Macaca mulatta: one gene and its partner. The protein of the gene in region 1 purifies or fractionates together with the protein of each later gene. This does not show direct contact. Links are inferred from orthologs where the notes say so. Each region holds a gene or a part of one and is shown on either strand. Other genes may lie near its edges.

Region 1 (5,090 bases):
GCTCCACCCTTAGGACTGTCAGAGGACCGTAACTAGGCACACTTCATTCTAGAAACATGTACTCTGAGCCCACCTAAGGCAAGAAAGGCCCAATAGGAGGTTGGCAAACTTGTACAACTTTTCTTTTTTTTTTTTTTTTTTTGAGACAGGGCCTCACTCTGTTGCCCAGGTTGGAGTGGAATAGTGACACGACCTCAGCTCACTGCAACCTCGGCCTCCCAGGCTTAAGAGGTCCTCCCACCTCAGCCTCTGGAGTGGCTGGGACCACAGGTGCGCACCACCATGCCCAGCTAATTTTTGTAATTTTTGTAGAGATGGAGTTTCGCCATGTTGCCCAGGCTGTCTCAAACTCCTGAGCTCAAGTGATCCACCCGCCTTGGCCTGTCCCACTTTTCCCAGCCCAGGGAAGCAGCCTTACTTGGCGGTACTTATGTTTTCCCGACTCAAAGTTGGCCAGCATCTTCTCAGGGTCCTCAGCCTCATCCGTGTCTGGCTTCTGGTTGCTGACAGGCATGTGCTCCAGGATCTTCTGGACATCTGGCTCAAAGCCCATGTCAATCATCCTATCTGCCTCATCCAGAACCACATAAGTACAGCGGCTCAGCACCAGGTAGCGGTTCTCCAGCACATCAATCAAACGCCCAGGGGTAGCGATCACAATCTGAGTAGTACAGTATAATCACTTACAGCCCAGCAGGTGCCCCTTCTTTTCTTTCCTGTGAACTATCCACCCACTTGGGTGACAGACCTCCAATGCTGAGGAACTTGGACCCCAACCTCTGGTTATGTTTAGCAGTAAAGGCTCCTGCAAACCAGCATGAAATCACTTGTTGCCTGGATTTTCTCAGGAACGAATGAGGTCTCTGAGTAAGATGCAGGGATTAGACAGAGGAGGCAAAATCAGTAGAAACTTTTTTTTTTTTTGGCAAATCATTTCAGATCCTGAAGAAGCAACTTTCTTAGATGGGAGAGACTAAGGGATACCATGAAGGGGGTTGTATAAAGACTAAATTAAAAAAAAAAAAAAGTAAAAACTCTAAATTTCTACAGCAGATTTCTCATAAAAAGCTCTCCTCCACTTTCCTGAGATGAACGCAATGCACAAAGTCAAAGATTTGGTCTGGCAGAGTAAAGAGTAACTAAAAGCACAGGCTATGGATAAGAATCTCAGCTCTGCCCATTGCCAGCTGTTTGTGACTTCAGGCAGTTATTAACCTGAACCTCAGCCTGATCTATAACAAGGAAATATCACTACCTACTCTCACACATTATTGTGAGAATTAATGAGCTAATATATATGATATATACTATTTGTAATATAAACTTTGGTGCATAAGTTCTCAATAAATAGCACATACATATAAACCAGCTCCTTTCTTCATTCTACTGCACATCTATTCCAGAAACTAGAAACAAAGCCCCAAGATAGCCTTCCCAGACAGCAGGCTGGCTGCTAGATAGAAAAACAAACCTCACAACCCATGCGCAGCCTGAAGCCTTGGTCTTCTCTGGAGATGCCACCAATGACAGCCACAGTGCGGATACCTAGCGGCTTCCCAAACTTGATGGTCTCTTCCTCAATCTGTTGAGCCAACTCACGGGTGGGAGCCAGGATGATGGCATAAGGGCCTTGGTCTGACTCTTCGATTCTGTGGTAAATGGGGCATCCCACAGCTTCGTGAGCTTTGGTTCTTATCCAACCACAAGCCAGAGCAAGACAAAGTCACTCTTAGGGGAAGCGATGGGAATGGGGAGGATGATGAGAAAAGAATGAAATGATCTCACTCAAAAATCAGAGGCCAGGGCTGGGCGCTATGGCTCACACCTGTAATCCCAGAACTGTGGGAGGCTGAGGCAGGCGGATCACCTGAGGTCAGGAGTTTGAGACCACCCTGGCCAACATGGTGAAACTCTGCCTCTAATAAAAATACAAAAATTAGCCAGGGGTGGTGGCCGGCGCCTGTAATACCAGCTACTCGGGAGGCTGAGGCAGGAGAATTGCTTGAACCCAGGAGATGGAGGTTGCAGTGAGCTGAGATCGTGCCACTGTACTCCAGCCTGACAGAGACACTCTGTCTCAAAAAAAAAAAAAAAAAAAAAAAAAAAAAAGTAAGTCCAGAGGCCAGGCAAAATGGTACAAGCCTATAATCCCAGCACTTTGGGAGGCTGAGGTGGGTGAATCACTTGAGCCCAGGAGTTTGAGACCAGCCTAGGCAACATGGTAAAACTCTGTTTCTACAAAAAATACAAAAATTAGCTGGGCATGTTGGAACACACCTGTAATCCCAGCTACTTGGGAGGCTGAGGTGGGAGGATCTGCGCCTGGGAGGCAACGGTTGCAGTAAGCCAAGATCACACCACTGCACTCCAGCCTGGTCAACAAAGCGTGACTCCATCTCAAAAAAACAAAAATAAATAAATAATAAATAAATAAATAAATAAAAATCAGAGATTCGGCCAGGTGCAGTGGTTCACGCCTGTAATCCCAGCACTTTGGGAGGCCAAGGCAGGCAGATCACTTGAAATCAGGAGTTTGAGACCAACCTGGCCAACATGGTGAAACCTCATCTCTACTAAAAATACAAAAATTAAGGACGGGCGCAGTGGCTCATGCCCGTAATCCCAACACTTTGGGAGGCTGAGGCAGGCGGATCACCTGAGGTCAGGAGTTAAGAGACCAGCCTGAACAACATGTAGACCCCGTCTCTACTAAAAATACAAAAAAATTAGCCGGGCGTGGTGACGGGTGCCTATAATTCCAGCTACTCAGGAGGCTGAGGGAGGAGAATCACTTGAACCTGGGAGGAGGAGGTTGCAGTGAGCCGAGACTGCGCCACTGCACTCCAGCCTGGGCAACAAGAGCAAAACTCCATCTCAAAAAAACAAAACAAAACAAAAAAACAAAAGTTAGCTGGGTGTGGTGGCACATGCCTGTAATTCCCAGCTACTCAGGAGGATGAGGCAGGAAAATCACCTGAACCTGGGAGGCAGAAGTTGCAGTGAGCCGAGATCGTGCCACTGCACTCCAGCCTGGGTGACAGAGTGAGACTCTGTCTCAAAAAAATAAATATAATAAAATAAAAAAATAAAAATCAGAGACTCCAGGATAGCAAAGTTCTCCAGGTCTTTGCCAGCAACATATAATTCTTTGATATCATGATCCAATTATTCCCTAATATCGAACCAAGAATAAAGAAGCAAGCTTCCGATTATAGACGTGAAACAAAAAACACACATTCTTTTGCCACTTTCACCTTTCCTACCCAGACAAACCCACTCCAGCTGGTGCCAGCTGACCCCACCTGTCAATTTTGGGAAGTGTGGTGATCCAGACCAGCAGTGGGATGAGGAAGGCTGCTGTCTTGCCGCTGCCAGTCTCAGCCACACCAATGATGTCACGATTCTGTAGCCCAATGGGAATTGCCTGACGCTGGATAGGTGTTGGTTCCTGCAGTGACCCCGAGAAAGAGTAATAGGTACAGGCAGAATTATACAACCTGGGCTACCACTGATAGTAGTAAGCATATCTGCTAGTGCAATGGAAGGATGCCAAGTACAGTGCACAGAAATGGGGACCCCAAGAAGAAACATAATCACTAAAAGCTGACGCTTCTACCAGAAAGTGACAGAAAAGGTCACATTGGTACCCAATAGCAGGGATGGCTCCAAATAGTCAAGGAACAAAGTTCTCTATTCCCAAACTAGTGCAGGAACATTTCAGATCTTTTGGGCCAATCTACCCCTCCTTACCTTATAGCCACACTTATCAATGACTTCCAAGATGTGTGGGGGCAGAGAAGAGTCTTTCCAGGATCGGATGGGATTGGGGATCTTGCCACCTTTGGTGGTGATGCTGTAGTCCTCACGGAAGATCCGCCAGTCCCTGTCCGTCATCTCATCTAACTTTTTCTGAGACCAATGACGATCATCCCAGCGCTGCTTGGCTTCCTTCTTACGAAGTTTACGGAGTCTTGCCCTGGAGCAGGATGTGAGGAGTAAGTAGAATCAGTGCCCTCCAACTCCTTTCTGTAGAGTCTCTGGGCTCTGTCCAGCCACCCTAGCCTTGATCACTCACTCCTCCTGCTCCTTTTCTTCCAGGGTTCGCCTTTTCTCCATTAGGTCTCCATAGAAACGTGACTGCTCTCGTTTCTGCTGCTTGAGGTCAATGCCTGCAATGAAGCCTCGCCCTAACAACTGCACCTGGTGCCGTTCTTTATACCTGGGATTGAGACAGAGGAAAAGAAAAAAGAAGCAGCTGTTATGGCAGTAGGAGGGAAGGGCAGACTACTAATATGAAACAGTTCCTCCTGGACAGGGTCTTTCTTCCACCAGAGGGCTGGCTGACTACCAGTCTACCAATTTTCCATCCCGGCTTGTCTGACTTCCTCCACCTCTGTAGTCATCAGCTCTCTAGGACTGCCTAGTGGAAAAGACCTAGAATTCAGGCCTGAAGCCACTCACAGGGGGTTGTAGTCAATGGATGTGTCCTCAGATGCATCCCACTCAAAAACAAATTTTCGGTCATTGAGATGTCTTGTTCGGCGCCGTTTTTTGATGCCACCCAGGTAACGTTCCTGCTCAGGGAGGGAACACAAAGCACATGAGCCTTGAGGCCCAATTCTCACATGCAGAGATCACAATGGCCAAATAACTAAACCTCATTTTTGTGTGTGGGAGAGAAGTGAAGATGGATCCAAGGCCTGCACCTTAATGGCATGCAGTTCCTTGCTCTTATCCTTCTCTTCCCGGATCTTCTGCCGACCTTCCTCATCCTCATTTCCATTGGTCTCCCGTTCCATCCTCTCCCTGCGTTCCCGACGTTCCCGTTCCTGAGGATCTTCTGCAGATCAAAGAAAGCAAAGCTGCAGAAGAGCTCATGGAAGAAAAGAGGAGAGGGAATGGAGGGAATCCAGATGAGGAACATCAAATGAAGAAAAAAAGGGCTAGACTTATGATATGGGGTAAATGGAGATCTAACAGAAAAATGTTTTCTCATAAACTCCCACCATCCTTCCCTTTTCCAAACTCCAGAGTGAACAGGTTTCTAATTCTCCTAAGAGACACTGTATCTCATCCCACTCTTTCCTCTT
Region 2 (5,801 bases), on another chromosome or scaffold:
CCATTTTGTCATCTCCCTGTCGCCTCCCAAGCTGTGGTCCGCACTAGGCCTGGGGCTGATGGCATCCTGTGGGCTTTGGTTGGGGGAGGGCAGATTCTGGACCCACTCAGGCCCATTGAGGGTACTCGCTGGACACCTGCCACTGAGCCACAAGCCCTAGAGGCGGCCTGGGGTTACCAACTCTTGCTGTCACCTGGGTGATCTGCTGTTAAGGGATGCAGGTGTCAGCCACCCTCGAGTGGTCCAGCACTGTCAGGTGTGGGGACCTCTTGCTGCCGACAGACCCCTTTGAGTAAGCAGGGCCCAAATATACACAAAGTCTGAGAAAGACCCAAAACCTTTATTGTCCCCACCAGGAAGCCAGTGCTTCCAGCCCACACCCCACACCCCAGGAGCCTCAGCAGGTCTCTGCTCGGGAGGACGCCACCCAGAGCTGCAGCCAGGGCCTCCAGTGCCACCTACAGGCAGCCTGCAGGCTTCCTCCCACTCCAGCTGGGCAGTGGCCAGGCTGCCCCTTGACCAGCCCCACTAGGAAGGCAGCAGGATGGCAGTGGCCAGTGTGGTCAGGCTGGGCCATCTCCCTCTCAGACCTCAGCACCTGGGTCCTCAGGGCTGCTGCCCTTGTTCCGGAAGTGGTCTCGACTCCGCTTCCTGCTGCCATGGAAGCCAACAGTCTCCACCGGCGGGAGACCTGGCACAGACCCACTGTGGACAGGCCCTGACAGTGCCTCCACCTCCTGCAGGCCCCCATGGGGGCTGCCCCACTCCTCGGCCTCTGGGCTCCCGGGCCCGGCCAGATGGGCCAGCTCCACAGGGCCCTCGCCCCTGTCTGTGGCAGGGTTCCCAAGGCCACCCCTGCCCGGCTCTCCCACCTTCCCCAGGACCCTCTTCCTCTCGTGTCTGGCCTCGACGCCTCGGACTGGTTTGGTGAAGACGACCCTCCCCGCCCCACAGCTGGAGGGGTCCTGGTTGAAGGAGGACACACAGTCAGTGGGGGCAGCCAGGCTCTGGGAGCCCAGGAAGGCCAGGGCGGCGGCCTGATTGCTCTGCTCGCTGACCTCGGTCACATCTTCTAGGCTGTACTTGGTCCAGCGCTCGGGGTGTGCCACGTAGTCAGGGACCGGAGGCACCCTTGGGGAGGCGGGGCTCCGACGGGCCCCGCCCAGGCCTTCCACTGGAGACCGGCCTGAGGGCGCTAGGGGCTGCTTGAAGCCTCCATTGTCACTCATGCTTGTGTGGGCCACAGAGGATGGAGCCCTCCTGGCCGCTCCCTCCAGGCAGTCAAAGATGTCACGGCTGCGCTGGGAGAAGGTGGAGCTCATGCCTCTCAGATGGAATGGCTGCACCGTGGCCGGGAGGAGGCCTGACGGGGGTGAGGGTGGTTCATCAGGACCTGAATCCTCCTCCCCAGGCAGCCCCAGCGGGGACAGTGCTTCCACTTCAGCACCACCGGGCAAGCTGAGGTCAGAGTCCGAGTCGCTGAGGGAGACTGTGTCGGAAGGCAGCGTGTCATACTCCGTCCCGTGCTCGCCCTCCACGCTGGGGGACGGCTCACCTGTCCCTGCATCAGCCATGGGTCCCCAGGGCCACGCCACACCTAAACCAAAACGGCCCAGGAAGTTTGTCTCTCAGGAGGAAAAGTATTGAGAATGAGTTCCCCCTGCAGATCCACTGCCCCTGGACAAGTAGAGAATCAACTGACAGAACCGTCCCACACAGGGTGGAGTCCCGCCTCCCCCTCCAAGCCCTCCTCTCACCTCTCTTGGCTGCTGGGTGCCAGTGGTTGACACTGGAGTGTGACTGGACAGCCAAGTGGGCCAGGTGAATGGAGCCCTGCTGAAGGTCCTCAGTGGCACAGGCGTGGTCGTCTCAGGCCTGGGAGTGCCCCAGCATTGCCGCTGTTCAGCTGCTCAACTGCAGGTGGGTGGGGTGGGGGAGAGGACCAACCTCAGACCAGAGCACACATGTGTGAAACAGGTTGTGTCCAGTGCCAGCACATTGTCACCCCTTAAGGTGCCAGGCAGGACCGACCTAAGTCTGGGTTTTCAGAGCCCCTGACAGGCTAGGACTCAGGGTAGGGACTTTTGACTCGTTACCTCATTTAATCGTGCCAACCCTCTGCAGGCAAGCTTGGAGCTACTAAGCGATTTTAGTAGTAAGCAGCCACCCAGGGCTTAAACCCAGGGCCGAGATCAGGCAGGAAGGCCACTTATAAGCTGCTTGCTGTGCAGGGTGAGCAGTTGGTACTCCACAAAGAGCCGGCACCTTCCTGATCCATGGGGAAAAGGTTTGCTCCTATTTGCTGGAAGATCCCCGGGAGCTCCCAAGGAATCTGCAGCCAAGGCCCTGGCATCTGAGGGTCAAGCTCTCAGGAAAGTGGGGTGTCGACCATCACCTTGAGCAGCCCTGCTAGGCAGAAGCAAATCCCCGCAGCTCCTGGAGCGACCTCCAGTGACCTTCCTCCTGTAACACTCAGCACATACCTTGCCTTTCCAGCTGGGCAGACAAATGCTGCCTCCTGTACCCATTTAGCGGTAGAGTGACTAGGTGCCTCAGAGCTTGCGTTTCCAAGCAAAAAAGACGGCCCATCCACACCCTTCTTCACTGTCCTCGGCCATCCATCCACTGACTCCTCTCCTGCTACCAACACTCCTTGCCCGCCCAGAGTGACCTGTGTCTTGTGCACCCAACAAGGATGGGGTCAGGGGTACTATTAGGGACTGTCAGTGCCCTCCACCAGGTCAAACACAGGAAGGACCTCAATTCCTCTGAGGCCTGACTCTCCTCAGTGAAGAAGCCACCCCAGGGAAAGGCGATACCCAGTACCCCCCACACTGATGACCGTTTTAAAACTGGCAGGAATGGGGCGGGGGCCATAATTTGCCCAAGTCACACAGTATGTTGCAGACGAAGCTGGAGTTCCAACCAGACCCCTGCTTCCCAGATTCGCACTCCCGTCCTCTGCAGCAGAACGCCGCCGCGGCCAGAAGCAGCCTGGTCAGCGGGGCACTCCGAGGGGGAGCGGGGATCGGGCTGCAAGACAGGGACTCCAGGAGTCCGTTCTCGGGGTTCTCGGCGAGATCCGGCAATGAGTGGAAGGGCAGAGTTGACTCCTTCATGTCTGGAGACTGAAGGAAGCCGTCTGTTTCTCCACATGAATGCAGAGCCGGGCCTTTCTCCACTCTATGTGCCAGCAAGACCTCCCCGCCAGGGAAAGAACGAACTCTCAGTGCCAAGTTGGCTCTCGGTGCGAAGTCGGGCTGGACAGGCCCGGGTCCGGGCCTCAAGAGGATGCTGTGGGTGCCAAGGGCCCGGTCGCAAGGTACGGGGGTTGGCAAGCACAGCGGGGCCTCCGAGCTCAATTTAAAGCTGCGCTCGGTGACCTTCCGGAGGCTCGGCCGGCCACCGTGGCCCGTCCTCCATCAGCACAAACCTACCGGCTCAAGGATGCACGGCAATCTCCATCTTGGTCGGCGCCGCACGTCCGCGCGGCGCGCTCAGCCCTCTGGGAAACCGAGTGCTCTGCCGGCGGAGCGCCGCGGTTTCCGCACCTGCAGAACTACAACTCCCACAAGGCACTGGGCCTCCACTCCCGACGCCTGTCGGGATGTGTAGCCCTGTGCGCATGCGCCCGCCCCTCTACGCCCCGGCCCTTGGGTCCGGCTCGGAAGCGGCCCCGGAAACGACGGCATTTGTTGGGGAACCAAGACCGGAATTGACCAAGAAGAACAGGAAGAGGAGGGGCCAGGCCTGCAATTCCCAGAATGCTCGACGGCTAACCGACAACCGGGCCGGCTTCCCGTGGTCCCAGCGCCACCTGCCGGAAACCGCGAGAACAGCGGCCGCCCCAGGCAGGAAGTGCATCATCTCGTATGGAGAACGAATGCCGTTCCCAGCACTTCCGGTCATGACCGGAAGCGGTAACTGTCGCTCCTCCTGGGCTTCGTCAATGCAGCGAGGCGGGGCTCCCCGGGATCCCACGGTCCCGCTCAGGCCAGACGCAGAGGCGGTCCCAGCCCGAGATGAAGACGCGGGGTCGTGGCCGCTGGGTCACGGGTGAAGGGGGCTTTACCCGCTGGTTGGGCCGACGCTTTCCCACCCCTAGGGGTTTACTGGGCCCTGGCCGCAAACTTGTGGGGCGTCGTCCTCACACAATTGCCCGGCCACCCTGACACCTCTGGGCCCTCAGCTCTGGTGCACTGGTCCGGGCTCCGGGAGGCACTGAGACGTCCCCCGAGGGCTCTGCGGGGAAGCTGGGGCCAGGTCCCTGGTCCTTCCGGGCAGGATGGAGGCCGCTGAATGCTCAAGCTTCCAAGTCAGCGTGGCTGGGTGGGCGGCAGCCGGGAAGGTTTGGCCTCCGCCGTGCTTGGGAGCCTGTCCAGGGGGCAGGTCAGATGCCCGCCCTGAAAGGGAAGACGAGGGCCCAGGTTCTCCCTTCGACAAGCCGCGTCTCCCTTGGCCACTGGCCCTGTTGGCACCTTGTGCTCCTTCTCAGCTGGGAGAGTTCATGCCCCACACAGTCAAGGAATCTGAGTTCCCCGTGGCTGCTAGACCTCTGGTCCCTCTGAAAGGCTCGAGAGAGAACTCCCCCAGGGCCTGCTGTCCTGGCATCCGCTGGGAAATAGGATTCAAGGACCTGCTGTGGCTCAGCCTAGAGAAAAGGAGGGGAAGCAGGACCCCCTCCTCGGCCCCCGGTCTGCTGTGCACCTTTGGGATACCTTATTCCTTAAACTGCTCTTCCCTCCCCACAGGGAACATAGTGGAAAGTAGAGAGGGGGCTCCTTGAACCATCCTGTTACCCCAACCAGTGCAGGCTTGGAAGTTGGGAGCAGCAGGGGAGGAGGGCCTGCTGAGAGACTCTGTAACCCCCTAAATTGCAGGGCTGGGGACAGTTTCCAAATTGGCCCGCAAAGAGGCTGCTGGGAGCCCTAGACATGAATTCCCAGGCACTCATTTCCTCCAGGGGTCAGTTAAATGTGCCAGCATCTCCCGCCCCACAACTAGGGAAAAGCAGCCTGACCCAGAGCAAGCCCCACCCCACGATGTAGGGGAAGATAGGAGAGTCTAGACCAAGCCCATTGGCAAGGACGGGGAGCGCAGGGGCTGCTTAGCCCCAGAGCCTGTCCACCCCCCAACCACCGCCCGCTGAGGGGCTGGGTGGGCTCCCTAGTAGGACGAGGTCTTTCTTCCCCTCCAGCCCCTTTGAGACATGGCTCAGGCCTGAGCCGCCAGCTCTTCAAAGGAACACTTACAGGAAATAGATGGGCAGGACAGAGACCCTCAAATGCTCAGGAGGGAGCAGTGTGTCCATCCTTTGCCATCCCTTAGGAGGAGGAGGAGTCCTGCAGCGCACCCAGCCCCGACCCCAAGCCCATCTCATACTGCATTCCCTGGCTGCCCGACCCCTCCTGCCAACCTACTGACACTGTGTGCTCCTCGTGTGCCCAAGGGGCAGGGTGGAAGTGACTGCAGGCAACACAGGGCCTCTCCCAAAAGAGAACACAGAGAATCCTCCCAGAAAGGGCCCTTGCTACCTGGAGTTACTCCCTGGTTTAAACCCAAAGTAAAATTCTAAGCAACCCCAACCAACCGAATGGACACCTCTTGGCCAAACGCATTCTAAAGTAAACCTGAAAAGCTAGTTCAGGCCATGATGACCGTGGGTGGCCCAATGTGCCTCATTATACCCTCTTCCAGTGGGAATTCAGGCACTGCTGACCAGCATTCACATTAAAACAGACACCTTAGGCCGGTGTGGTGGCTCACACCTATAATCCCAGCACTTGGTCTATCACCTGAGT

What was found.
Region 2: the proteins of DDX23 (region 1) and TSSC4 purify together in Homo sapiens (affinity purification with mass spectrometry; 3 studies listed by BioGRID and IntAct, with this or other methods). This does not show direct contact. The link is inferred for Macaca mulatta from reciprocal best matches to the Homo sapiens genes DDX23 and TSSC4.

The regions. Positions count from the first base shown.
Region 1 is NC_133416.1:55,993,294-55,998,383, forward strand, and holds part of DDX23 (probable ATP-dependent RNA helicase DDX23), read right to left. Parts: intron 4,841-5,090; coding exon 4,707-4,840; intron 4,575-4,706; coding exon 4,462-4,574; intron 4,220-4,461; coding exon 4,076-4,219; intron 3,977-4,075; coding exon 3,751-3,976; intron 3,449-3,750; coding exon 3,303-3,448; intron 1,650-3,302; coding exon 1,472-1,649; intron 662-1,471; coding exon 419-661; exon of another isoform or gene 372-418; intron 1-371. UniProt on the Homo sapiens protein: Involved in pre-mRNA splicing and its phosphorylated form (by SRPK2) is required for spliceosomal B complex formation.
Region 2 is NC_133419.1:2,306,357-2,312,157, reverse strand, and holds TSSC4 (U5 small nuclear ribonucleoprotein TSSC4), read right to left. Parts: upstream 3,486-5,801; 5' UTR 3,438-3,485; intron 2,407-3,437; exon of another isoform or gene 2,266-2,406; intron 1,915-2,265; 5' UTR 1,758-1,914; intron 1,598-1,757; 5' UTR 1,575-1,597; coding exon 585-1,574; 3' UTR 322-584; downstream 1-321. UniProt on the Homo sapiens protein: Protein associated with the U5 snRNP, during its maturation and its post-splicing recycling and which is required for spliceosomal tri-snRNP complex assembly in the nucleus.